Linked DNA regions of Nothobranchius furzeri. Each later gene encodes a partner of the first gene's protein in a complex. Links are inferred from orthologs where the notes say so. Each region holds a gene or a part of one and is shown on either strand. Other genes may lie near its edges.

Region 1 (6,967 bases):
TGGTCACCACCCACCTTGAAAAAGTTTGCCCCCTTACATATACTAAAGTGCCACAAACAGGATGCTAATATCACCATTCCCATTTTATTAAGGTGTATCTATATAAATGACCCACCCTGCATTCTGTTTCCTCTGTAATTTAGTAAATGTATTCATTAATTAAAAACCTGCTTTTTATTGGTGCAATTCTCCATTCCAGTTCCCGCGTGTACCATTACATCTGGACAACACCCATATGCCGCACAAACACCAAGAGAGACTACTTCAGCTACTGCAAAACATAAATAACATTGAACTAGCACAGTCTTGTTCTTTCTTTTTTCAATTTCACGTCTTTTTAAAATAACTAGGTAATAAAAACACTATAGTTATGTACCAAAAGCTAAACTGTTGTAATGTGACACCTCTGTGTGAGAAAATAAACTTGTGACCCACACATTAATTGTATCTAGAGACATTTTCTGGAGCAAAAACATAAAAAAGAGGTCACACCAAAAAGAAATGCTGTCAAATGTCTGATGCAGTGGCTGTTGGACCACTTCCGATGTGTCAACACGACCTTTTACAGGTCTCAATCTGAAAGCTTTTGACTGAGTCTCAGAGCCATACTTTGATGAGCAGTGATGGCATAACCACAAAGGGAGTCTTTTTGTTGTGCTCAGTGTAGCTTCTGTTTTACTGAGATATACATTCTTGGCCATTTCTCTTTTGAAAATAATTTTTTTTTATCTCAAACAGACCTTTTTATGGTCTTTTTGAAAAATACAAATGATCGCATCAGCTACGATTCAAAAGTACTGTAAGTTGATGTTTTTATTAATGACATGGAATCAGTGCATTTCCTCTAAAACAGGTAAGTAACCAACCTAATCAATTTAATATTTAAAATTCCCAGAGAAGCTTGTGAATAACTAAAAATTTTTTTATTTTAACAGCTACAAATCAGCTCGACGTGTGGCTGGGATGTCGAGTTCTGATACCATGTCAACGTGTCGGCACCCGGTGGGATTCTTTTAGATGGGTTTACAAGGAGAATGAACATAGTCGTGCAGCCCAATTATACTTTCTAGATAAGACAGGATTGACACTGTATGCCTCTAACCGCAGAGCCACTGTTTCAAATGATGGCTCCTTGATCATTGATGATTTTAAGGAGAAAGATCAGGGCATGTACTGGTGTGAAAAGTGTGACAAAAACAAATGCGGAAGTGATCAGTCGGACATCTACAGAGTGCAAAAAGGTTGGAACGACTGTTCTTTTCACAAATCTATTCATTCCTTCGCATATTTCTATTTCAATTTCTGATATTTTTATTGTCCTTCTAGAAACTCTGAAAGAAATTCAAGAGACATCATACATCACTGCAGGCAGCAGCTTCATGCACACATGTCCGGGGGGTTTTCTGGAGCTAAAATGGACTTTTGAAGCAAGCAACAAAACTGCCCAAGAATCCAAACAGATTCCAGAAACAACCGTTAATGTTGTTAATGTTAAAGCTGCAGATGTTGGGAAATACACCTGCTGGGCGAGTCGCTGTGGCGGTCCGAGTCAAAAACAGCTTACTGTTAGCTTATGTGTGGTAGAAGGTAAGAAACTCACAGTAATCTGCTTCATTTGTGAAAAATAAACAAGATTTATGTTAAAATATACATATTTGTTTGTTTTGTGGCAGTAGTACACCACCGTGAGGACTCCTCTCTGTCTTGTTTCGTGACGTGTGATGTGGATTCTGAAACTAGAAAAGAGACTTCAAGGCTTCAGGTGGACAATACGATAATATCAGTGGACGTAGCTCCATCTGGGGTTTTCGTTTGTACGGCAGGTCAGATTTTGGACAATAGCACGACTGTTACCAGCACTTACACATCAGCATCAGCAGTTTTAAACACATCAGCAGGCGAGTGAATGCCGCGACCCTCTTTTTTAAATTCTAAATTAAAATTAAACAATTAAAATAAACATATTGTTGACTCTACAGGTGAATCTGAGGAGACTGAAAACACGTTTCCAGCCATTTATGGAGTATCAATCACTGCGGCATGTCTAGCTGTAACAGCACTCGTGATTTTTTGCTTCAAATCAAGACTGCAAGCAGGTAGGATTTGCAGCTGTAGGTTTTCGTTGAGACTTCCTGTTTTTTGTAATTTACATATAGATTTTAATCATGCACAGTGGTTTGCCCTTCAACCTGATTCTCTTTCTGTCTCTCCTCAGCATTTCCGTTTCACAGCTCTTGTTGCGGATTTGGCAGCAAGGTATGATGAGTATTATAAAGTGTATGTATGAAATACCACATGTGATGTTTTGCTAAGGTAATTAATGTCTTGTTTTATGCTGCAGGAAGAAGAAGAAAACCCGACTGTTATTTATTCTTCTCTTGTCATCAAGGCACCTCCCGCAAGAAGACATAGATATGCATGTGAAACTGACTGCATTTATGGTGAAATAAAAGTGTAGTAGAAACACACCTGGCAGAGATGAAAGCTAAACTGAAGAGTTAGTGATTGTAGTTTCCACACTGTCCTCTGATTTAGTGATCAATTTGTCAACAACTTCTAATATGATTGTATGTATAATTATTACTCCCACAGGGTTGTGGAGGTAAAATCTAAAATTTCTCAATTTTTGCCCAAAATAAATAAATAAATAAATAAATAAATAAATAAATAAATTTCTACATTTAAAATATATTTTATTTTATACATACTCTTCCATAATATGTTACGATATATTGCTGAAATGTGGATACATTTCTCATTTTGCAGATTTTGAATTTATGAATAAAATAATACAATTTAAATTTTAAATGTTTAAAAATTTCCAAAGACAATGAAGTGAATTTATTTTTAAGAAACTGTTCCGATATTTTAAAATGACGTTCTGAGAAAGAGTTATAAGCGATTAAAATATGATCTGATGAAGACAACTGAATAAAATCATAATAGAGAAACAGATTAGTTGTGACTGGACTGATTATTTTTTCATGATTATTTATAAACTGTTGGATCATTAATTTACTTTCTGCAGTTGCAGAATGAACTTCATTTCTATTTTTATTTCAGGAAATGTGGAATATTAATGCGAAGATCCTGTCATTTCGTTTGTGCACCGTAGTTTTTAGACATAGATGTTGTAAAACCGTCATTCTCCAGTAGGTGGCAGCAGAGTGTTATCATAGCGGTTGTAACGCGCTTCAAAAACAAGCCAAAGAAAGATGCTCTCGTATTTTTGATGCATATTGAATGTTTTGTCTAATCTCCACATGCGTGGGTGGTTTTATTTTGACTACGTTTCCTCCATTTTTTACTTGAACAGCTGGAGTGACTCATTTGTATGTTGCTGACGTAAAAACTTGGCGAACTAGCGGTTAGCTAACGCTACATGCTAACCGGAAGAGGCTTACCGGGTCTTTAACAAACCATTACGCCAACATTTATTCTGGTTTACCTTAACAGGTACGGAGTAGCATTCTGCTTTATGGCTATTTTTCATGTAAAAGTAGACTTTTTGGGGGAGTCGCAAACTGTATGAATGATTTAGCTTAGCAACATAATTTAGCCTTTTAACTATTAGCTAGCATAACGAACAAGTTAACATCATAAGTAGCTATTTACATTAAGCTCTGCATATTATCAAGTAACAGTGAGCCAGCATGCAAAGTGTTGATTAAAATAAGTTTAGAACCACCTCGACCTTTTTCTTAAAGTGAAATATTTAGCTATTTATTAGCATGTTGAGCTAAGCTTACTGACTGCTTTTCTTTTTAAATTGGGACAAAAGCAGATACCTGAGAAAAGATGGAGGCCCCTCCTGTTACCGTGATGCCTGTGACCGGTGGGACGATTAATATGATGGAATATTTGTTACAAGGTGAGTTAGTGAGATACAAAATAAAAATAGTCTCCCTGAGTGCTTTTTAAGTACACAAGAAAAATTACTTTTCAGACATTTCAACGTTTTATACAATTGTCAGTTTTGCATTAGTGGCCATATGTAGTATTTTATATCAGCTATTATGTCAACAATGAAAGATGGATGACTGTTAATGGGGAAAAATCTAAATTGAATTGAATAGGCTATTAATCCCAGGGGGGACATTCACTCTAGAGCAGAACATACGCTTAGAGAAAAGGAAGAAGAAAAAAATAAAAACAAAAGTGCAGGTACATACACAACGGCAGTAAGCTATTATTGTAACCTTCAAACCACTAAGAGCAACAAAATAAAAATACTAAATTGGGTTTCCAAAGATGTACAGCATAAGGAACACATATTTGTAGGTGATAACTAAGATTTAAAAGATCTTCTACCATAAACTGAAACTATCAGTTATTAGTCATTTTATTTTTACTAATTTGTAAAATCTCAGAATCTTGTTTCTGCTTCCATGAAAGCATAACTGTGGAAAAAGTCCTCAAAAGCTGGATTAACCTCTAATCTGACAGTTTAAGGAAACGTGTTACATGAAAAACATATTCTGATGAAGACTGATTATAGAATACATGTTTTATACCTTTACTGTTTCAGATAAAGTTTGAGTGACATAAGATGTTTGTTTTATTTTTGAATTATTCATGTTAGAAAATGATTGCTGTTATTTTTCCTTCAATGAAGCATTATTTTCTTTGTTTTTGTTGAATCCAGGCAGCGTGTTAGATCTGGCTCTGGAAAGCCTGCTGCATCGCCTCCGTGGTCTGTGTGACAACATGGAACCCGAGACTTTCACAGACCATGAGCTGGTGTACCTTCTGAAAGGCCAGCAGGGAAATCCTTTTATCCTGCGTGCCCGGCGCGCCCTCTCCCACCCAAATGCTCCATGGCATCTGCGTTATCTCGGCCAACCTGAAGTGGGAGACAAAAACCGCTACGCCTTGGTACGCAACTGCGTTGACGTGGCTGCCTCTCACAGCCTTCCAGAGTTCCTGAACGAGATGGGCTTCCGCATGGACCACGAATTTGTCACCAGCGGCCACATATTTCGCAAAGGAGCTATGAAAGTGGTGGTTTGCAACGTTTCTCGGGTCCAGCTACCAGGAAACACGGAAAACACAGAGCGAATGTCAAATTCGCACCTAGTTGAACTGAGCGTGTTGGCCCCTGCTGGCCAGGACACGGTTTCAGAGGACATGCGCAGCTTTGCAGAGCAACTGAAACCTCTGATTCACCTGGAGAAGATTGACCCAAGCAAGCAGAGACATTAGAAGTAGAATTCAGACTAACATGGACTCATTTAATGTAGCTACTTTTGTTTAATTGTTTGTTTTTTATCTTAATAGAAAATAAAATACTGCTCAACTTTTATTCGAGAGTTTTATTTGTTTTTGAATTTGTTTCACTATCTAAAAAATGCTTCATTTATTCCTCATGTTGATGAAAATTATAGTGTATTAACAGCTAAAGCTATTTATTCAAAGAACCTTTTAATGCTTTACTGAATAAGAGGTGGTTTTTGCTGTGGACGTTTTTCTTTCCGTCCACTAGGGGTCTCTCTTTCTCTTGTCTTTGCCTTGATTGGAACAAATTGAATGCTACCTCTCATCATCTACTGGAGCTGTGGTTGCCATGGAAATAATTAGCTGCGAGATCTGCACATCTTTTACCTCATTCTAATTAGCTTTCTCAATTGCTTAATGATACATAGACCTGTGAAAGCCTTCCTTTCTTTCCCTCAACAAAAGCATTGATTTTCGCTCCCTGCCCCTCTCGTTTCCACTGTTAACCCATTAGTGCCCCTTTTTCATGGGAAATTGAACTGGAACCATTACACATGAAAGCTCCACAGCTGCCTTGGGTCCTTAACTGTTCACGATGAAATTGGAAGAAGAAAAAAAAGAGGGCTGTATACTAGTGTGTCAACATTATGGCCAATTGCCTGCAGAGATGGAAGTAACTAATGCACATCCTGTCAGTTATGATAATAATGTTGGCAAAAAAGACATGAGTGCTTCTAATAATACCCTTGCAGGAAGATGCATTTGCTGGAGTTGAAATCTAAAGTGACCATGTGCATGTCTGAGAGGAGAGCTCCAGGGCCGATGGCTGTCTCTGCATGTTGACCTACCTGCATATCAAGGCTGATGAGGACGAGCTCACTGAGGTGGAAAGGTGAGGTGACATAGTTTCCGCATGTTTTTTTTTCTTTGCACATTGAGCATCGCTTTTAAACAACGTTTCTGGAGATTTTGTTTATTTTTGATCACAAACTGGATCTGTGCGTGATTGCATCTAATTTTAGGTTTGCCCACTTGTTAGACAAAGTTTCCTCTCTGTGAGTCTGGGCTATCTGATGGAGACAGATTTATGTTCCAACAACCAGAAGCAAACTACTGGCCCTTAGGACTAAAGCATGATGTTTCAGCTCTGAGTGAATTATGTATTAAAGAGGCAGATGCCTCCTTGCCTAAGGCTTTATGTGTCCAGCATGGATACGCTACAGTCTACTGGCTTTCTTCCACTTAAAAGTTGTGTTTAGCACAGTGCTCTGTGGTGATGAGCTGGAGTCCCACTACACCTCCACTCTGCGATGCCTGGAGAGCGCAGGCATAGCTAGGCTAATCAGTGTCTTGGCATCAAGCCTGCTTGGCTTTGTGGATGTTGCCAACCACTGACTAACCCAAGTGAAAGACTCAGCTCTGCTGAAGACAATTTGGTGTGCTGCAGAGAAGAAATCAGGAGAAACCTTCCTTAAGGTTGAACAGGATTAGCTTGGCAATACATACACTTAAAATAATAAGTCCACATGAATAAGTATGTGTTAGAGCTACTACACTCTAAGAAATGAAATGTTAAATTTATGTAAATAAAAGTACATGTATGTTGCTCTTTACAATTAAGCAACTAGGTTTAGTGGAACCAGCAAAGTCAACTTTTCATTTCTCAGAACATGTGCAAAATAAAATGCACTTAAAGCAACAGTGGATAATTTTTCCCGTTTCTCCTTCCTACTGGTTGAAAGCAGAATTACAG
Region 2 (7,175 bases), on another chromosome or scaffold:
GTAATAAAACAAGCCTGCTGCAGAATGCTGCACGACTTTTAACTGGTACAAGGAAGAGAGCACAGCTCTGTCATTTACCTCAGAATGAGCTTTAATGATGTGTAAGACTTCTTAAAATGACATGATTTTATGTTTGATAAGTATGATTTATTCATTTGATCCTTTAACAATTTTATTGAATCTACTGTTGTCCTTTTGCCTTGACGTCCAATTCTTTGGTTTTCATCACTTTGGTCAGTTTTGCTCTTTTAAAAGTACTTTATAAATAAAGTTCACGCTGTTCAGCATAGGGAGAAAAAAAACAATCTTAAACTATAAGGAAAAAGATGTCTAAAAACTAAACAGACAAATCTCACTTAAATGGAAAAATATTTGTATGAAACTTAAACTTACTAATGCCCATGAAGTGCTTTGCCCCAACAATGCTCCTAAATACGCAGCATTTACAGGAATGTTATTAAATAATTCACATAACTGCTCAGAAACTGTTTTTCCAGTCTTTGACATCAGTAAGCTATTTCAGCAGATCCTAGAGCTCTCACGATGGAAAACTAAACTTCTTGTGGCGCCCCCTGCTGCCTGAAAAGCAAGCTCAGTGCTCTTCACACAATAACCAGAACTAAGTCTTCAGCTACTAGTAAACTACCATGTGAAGAAGTGTGATGATAATAAGCCTAGCAGCTGAAACATTTCCCACAAATGCCAACGCACACCATCCTGTCCTTGTCTGTTTCTGACACTGGACAAAACCCTCTGCTGTGAAGCACTGGTGTGCACAAGTCACCACAGGAAAAGGCCTGGAAGTGCCACTGCCTGCTGTGAAAACATCTGATGCAGAATTTTTCAGCTGCCATCTTCACTGTTAAATTATTTGGTCTTTTTCAAAACAATGTCCTAAGGCATGTCAAGCAGAATGTTTAACTTCAGAATGCTTCATCTCTCTTGAGTTACAAAAATTCAAAACAATTTTTGAAAGGGTCATTTGATCTCGATACTAAACAAAAAGTTATGTTAAAATACAAAATAAATAAATCTGAAACTCTAAAAATGATGGTTAGTGTTTTTAACGGCCATAACATTAAAAAGCTGTAACACTCTGGGTCAACAAAATAAAATAAATGTGTTTCTTATGAACATGAACAATAATACTGGGTCTCTTCTTTTTAAAATAGATCAAAGTGAAGCCATTATTTCAGTAAAACTTCTTAAACTCAAAGAGTCGGTATCTCTTAGAGACCAATCCTTGTGATTTTAGTAGAAGTCTGAATGATTTCCTTCAGCATAAATGCAGGCAGATCTGAAGCTCCTACTGGAAGCAAGAGTGAAGTGAGTGCGAGCGTGCCGACCTGCAGGGCTGCTGTGGACTCTTCACTGGGCAGAGAGTCGATCAGTACATCTACATCTTTGGCTGTTCTGGCAATAAGAGCGGCAAATAGCCGTGCATATTCTAGAGGAGAGGGAAAACACACATGAGGGAATGCAATGAGCGTTAGTGCCATTGCTGCAACTAAACAAGTAGGTACAGTCGACATAATAGTTCCAAATGACAAGAAAAGTCTAAATATTCCCCCCAGAATAAAGGCTACATCCCAAGAATGAGTCAATATGTCGAGACAAACGTCAACAGTATTTTAAAAATTCAAGATTACAGTCATAATGTCGATGACAAAGTCAGCTTGTTTCTTCCAGGATGAAGAAAAAAAAGTTTAAAGGTTAAGAATCAACACTTAACTATTTCTAGAACATTGAGAAAAGACAAGAGACAAAAGTAGAAACCATCTTTAAATAGTGGGGAACAAATTCTAAACATCTATAATTACGTCTAAATACTGAGGAAAAATATTACAATTTAATTTGAAAAATATCAAAATATAACTTCCAAAAAAGAAAACAAACCCTGTTGTGCCCCTGAATCAGACTGCATTTGTTCCAGTTTTATCATCATTGTAACCGACGGTTACAGGAATGTTTTACCCAGTAAACTATTCAATAAAATAACTATTTGGTTAAAGGGACGTTATGGAAGTTTGACAGCCAAAACATGTATAGAAATAATAAATTTCTTCTTCATACATTCTCCTGCAATGCCCTGGTCCTGTAGAATGAGCCCTGGCATTTTTACTGTGATTGCCTGTTTTTCTGTAAAATCACAGAAAAAGAGAGCTGCTCGGGTCGAGCAGGCTGCTTCATCCGTGTTCACGCTCAGGCATAGCCCTCCAAACTGTTCTTTGAACGTTGTTTCAGCTGTCATCAAGGATATAAATGTTACAGACACAAGGAACGTCACTGGCGCTTTAGCTCGCCTTGTAAGACGACGGACTTTCGTGCAGAAGACTCGAGTTCGAATCTGGATGTACATTACATTAATGGTATATTTTTTTGCAGTAAGATGCCCAAATTTTTATTTGACACTTGCCGAACGGCATTGAATTCACAGATAAAAAAGATGTGGGTTCAACTTTCATTTTGGAACAATTTTTCAAGCAAGGGAAGGGAATGATCTGAGCATGCAGGAGGACTGACCCATCTTAAACCTTTGTCGGCTGTGCTGAAGAGAAAGGTACAGAACCAAATTATTTAATTAGCTGCACCTTCTCCTGTCCTCTGTCCTCCGGGCCACACACACAAGGGACTGTCTCAGCTGTTATTTTCGTAAAGGAGTGTGCACGTACAGCATGCGCGCCTCGTGCACGAGCCTACTATTGAAGCTGCCATTACACTTTTGGCCTGAGGGGGCAATCGCTAGCATAAAAATTCAAAACTCCGTAAAGTCCCTTTAAATATCAGGTTTTAACTCCTTTTGTTAAAGCAGAACTCGGAGATCTTCAGTCTTTCACAATAAGGGTCTTCAGCAAACACGTCCCTTTAGTTAAAAGGGAACAACACTTCCTGTAACAAAATAAATCCCTTCTGGATTTAACAAGGCAAATAGGTTGTATAACCTCAAGATGGCAATTCCACAATTCATCAGGATCAAACCATGAAAGAGATCAGGGCATATCGATGCAGACCCAATGAGCACCAATGACAATCTTTGCGATGACAATTGTTAAAACTGTTTGATTGTTCAACATCTCTACAGGATCCTCATTAAAAAATGAATGCAACTCAGGATGGGAATAATTCTTTTGACATTGCAGAAGCAATCAAAGTGAAGGGCAGTCCAACTAAATATTACAAAGTGACACTTTTGGGGATGGGCAGGGTACAGTTGAGATTCAGTTCTTCAGGCTATTTTGGAAATGGTAACACTTTTTTTCCTAGACGTTTTGACAATTTTCTTTAAAATTTCAACATTTTTCTTGACGTTTTAACTTTATCCTGGAAATAGTATTTCACTTGTTGACTAGCATTTTTACTTTTATACAATTAAACCCCGAAACCCCTTTTTGAAACAATTTATTAAATTGTGGCTTCTTCGAATAGGAAAATAAATAACCCATGAGAGTTTGGTAGTGATTTTTCCACCAGGCATGTGAGCATGTTTGGCCTGCCAGACTCGTCCTCTGTTTAATTCTACACAGAGAACTAATGCTTCCCATAAGGATGCATGACTGGTCAGGCTAGCTGAATGTGGGAGAAAAGAGATTTAAATAAAGATTTTGCTTTGAAGTTACAAACCTTCGGCTGAATTTCCTGGCTGATCCTTGTTGATTGCTGTCTGAATATTACTGAAGGAAGCAGGTGGAGCACATTGTTGCAGAACACCGATGGCATCACAGAACTGATCAGCCAGCTGTTCACACGCAACAAAACAAACACGGGTTTTAAAACTCCGGACATTTGTTTAAAAGAATATAGAATAGATAAACAGCCAGTATAGTCTGATAGTTGCATTACCAGTTAAACCAAGCCATGTTCATTGGTTAAAACATAAAAGCTGTGATAAATTGTGTAAATTAACTAAACCTTAGACTCGCAAGTTAGCGATTAGCTACATTTAAAAGACTGAAACGATAATTCTGCAAATATTTCTTATCTAAATCCATTTGTTGTAATTGTGTAAGATAAAAAAATAACTATTGACGTAGAAAATAATTATATTTCGGGATATTTCAATAGTTTTGCTTACAGAATTGACAGCGTCTTGAAGTTGCGTTAGCCTATCCGCCATGTTGCCGTAAATAAAATAAAAAACTCCCCAACGTGACCCTCGCGAGAGTTTAACGTCTCGCGGAAATAAACAAGAGGCTTCGAGTTAGCTGAAGCGATGGCTGTGACCGTCCCACGGCTGGTTTTTTGTAATGTGGATAGGTTTTAAATCGACTTTTTCATGACTAGCGATATTTACTCTCGTGCTTTAAGGAAATGGGAACGCGCCAAAGCATCTAATCCGGAGTAAACGTCAGCTTTTAGCCAGTGTTAGCCACCAAACAACAACAGGAAGTAAAGAAGCTAACTCAACCCAAGTGGTTTTGTACTTTGAACTCTTCAGGTATGACCACACATTTGTCAGTTTTGCTGCCTTTTGTGGACCTTACAAGTTTAGTTATAGCAGCCGGTTGGTGTTATGAACTCCTCGGTAGTTTATATTTGATTAATGAAGTGTTGTGGTGATAAATTGTGTCAGTAAATGCAAAATATGTTAAGTAATAAAACTCTTATTAGAGTAAAATGACCTATCAATGCATTATTGGCTGTAAACTAGCGTGCTATCACCTACGAGGAGGCTTAAGGTTCAAGCTAGGTTCTTTAGCTTTAGAAACGTTTATTCATGGCTCATTTCGATCGTTCTGGTGAATTATTATTATTTTACAGAGTGTGGTGAAGTGAAAGTTCATGTATTTTCGTGTGGCTGTCTGTAAAAAGATTCTGAACAACTAATATAGAAGTAGACAGATCTTTGAATGAGCTGAGTTTGAAGAAATAAAGATTAGTACTTACTGGACTGATTTGTTTGCATGTATTCGTAGTGTATTGCATTAATTATATTTATTTTCAATAAATTGATACCAACAAGTCAGAGCTGTTGAATAATCAAAAATAAGTTGTTTTTATGCTTCTGTATTTCCTTAGGTATGAATTGTAGTTTAGAGAAGGTCTTGGCAGATGCCAAATCATTAGTGGAAAGGCTTCGTAACCACGACAATGCCGCTGAGATGCTAATTGAACAGACAACATCTCTCAACAAGAGAGTGGAGGCTATAAAAACGGTATGTGATTTTTTTTTTTCCTATTTTATGTGCTGTTGGGTACTAGCTTAGTGCCACCAGGGGTCACATTTTACTAATTCTATAACTGAACACTCTATAATGCAAAAGAAGAAAGTAAAGTGCATTCCAAAGAATGATGGAATATTTTAACCGTAGCGTTGACTGCTGTTTAGTTTACAGGACATAACTACTGAGGGCGAAGCTTTTTATTGATTCGTTATTTATTTATTTTTTCACATTTGACAGTACCAGGAAGAGATTGATGCACTGAACCAGGTTGCGCGACATCGGCCTCGTTCCAGTCTGGTTCTGGGAATCCAACAAGAGAACCGTCAGATCAGAGAACTCCAGCAGGAAAACAAAGGTAGTCTTTCAGTGTTAATACTCATGGTGATTGCTTCCTGTTCGGTACAATACATTCCTTTACTTTTGTCAAATCACACTGCTTACAAACACTGAAATGTTTTTGGGCAGAAAAAATGTTTTTTACAAATATCCAGAGACATCATTAAGGTAAAATTTATTTACATAGACATATACAGATCGACTAGAGTTATTTAAAATCCTTACAAAATATTTTTCACTGCATTTCCCTATTCATTTGTTCAGTAATTAGTAGTCACTTACTTAGCTTGCTGCCATGGTCCAATTAAGAGTGAATAATTAGCCTACTTACCTTTTTATACCATTACTAAAATGTCTTCCTCGTACCACTAGAGGGAGCTCTCATACCATGATTTGAGAATGACTTTGTCATAGTTAGCCAACCAAACATGCGTTCTCTCTTTCTGCAGAGCTCCGAACATCTTTGGAGGAACACCAGTCTGCGATAGAGCTCATCATGACTAAATACAGGGAGCAGGTGTTCAGGCTCCTAATGGCGAGCAAGAGGGATGACCCCGCCATCGTCACTCAGCTGAAGGAGCAGCACACCACGGTCAGCAACTCGGGTTTCCTTTGTTCTTCTAATTCATATTTTAATAACTGTAATGTAAAATCTTCTAATCATTTTTTGTTGATCTGTGCAGGAAATGCAAGCGCACATAGACAAAATCAACGAGATGGCATCTGTGATGAGGAAAGCTATAAAGGTGGATGAGGACCGAATATGTGAAGACGAGGAGAGGATTAAACAGTTAGAGGTAAAGACGAATAAGGAGTTGCTGCATCATCCCTGTAAATGTTCTGAATTCTGATGCAGGAAAACATGTTTGACATGAATGAAACAAGGGAGAGTTTAGCTATTTAAATGATTCATGAGTCATCTTACACAGGTAAGCAATATCATTTAAGACTAACTCATTTGGATCAAAGCATCTGCCATAGTGGGTTAAACTATGAATCAGTACATTTGGGACCGGTTTTCCCACTGGTTCATTCAGTTTGTTATAACTGAGAGTAACGTTCTGACAAACGGGTCATGTAGTTAAGTGATCTAAACAATAAGAAGCTACAGAGAAAATAAAATCATGAAAGAAATCAGTTTAAACACAATGTTAATGGAAATAAGAAAGTAGAGAACAGGCATTATGTTTGTGGTTTAAACATGAGAGTTTTATTATCTGTACATTTTACAGAAGGCTGTAGGTTCAAATCCCGGTAGATCAGATTAACCTATCTGTGACCACCAATAGAGCTGGACGATATACATAAAAAGCATATTGATTAATATCAATAATTATTAATAACTAGAAAATGTAGAAAATATATTAGAAGTGCTGAGCTGGCCATTTTATGGTCATTACGTACAAGTTGGTTATTACCAGACTTGATTTTCATTGTTTTTATCAGACTTTTAATAATCTAAATATTTCCATGCTGGTGAACTACTATAACCGTCTTTCAGGACCGTTTCCTCCACCTCTGCTTGCTGCAAAATCTTGTTTAAGTCGCATGCTCTTTATTTAGGTTTGAGAGGGGAGGGCTTGGTGAGTGAGCATGCCTGAGTCTGTGTTTTTGATTGGTTGGGACAGTAATGTCTTTAGTATTTAAGCTACCTGATAGGCTATAGTGAAAAAAGAA

What was found. The genes of interacting proteins can lie anywhere in the genome.
Region 2: med18 (region 1) and med21 share a complex: the UniProt entries of both Homo sapiens proteins name them as parts of the mediator complex. The link is inferred for Nothobranchius furzeri from reciprocal best matches to the Homo sapiens genes MED18 and MED21.

The regions. Positions count from the first base shown.
Region 1 is NC_091745.1:72,039,109-72,046,075, forward strand, and holds med18 (mediator of RNA polymerase II transcription subunit 18), read left to right. Parts: upstream 1-3,171; 5' UTR 3,172-3,456; intron 3,457-3,781; 5' UTR 3,782-3,798; coding exon 3,799-3,871; intron 3,872-4,645; coding exon 4,646-5,202; 3' UTR 5,203-5,302; downstream 5,303-6,967. UniProt on the Homo sapiens protein: Component of the Mediator complex, a coactivator involved in the regulated transcription of nearly all RNA polymerase II-dependent genes.
Region 2 is NC_091741.1:59,845,223-59,852,397, reverse strand, and holds the start of med21 (mediator of RNA polymerase II transcription subunit 21), read right to left. Parts: upstream 4,165-7,175; 5' UTR 4,115-4,164; coding exon 4,073-4,114; intron 3,737-4,072; coding exon 3,622-3,736; intron 1,448-3,621; coding exon 1,347-1,447; intron 1-1,346. Other genes in the region: fgfr1op2 (FGFR1 oncogene partner 2 homolog), read left to right, coding at 5,019-5,153, 5,400-5,517, 5,948-6,090, 6,182-6,295. UniProt on the Homo sapiens protein: Component of the Mediator complex, a coactivator involved in the regulated transcription of nearly all RNA polymerase II-dependent genes.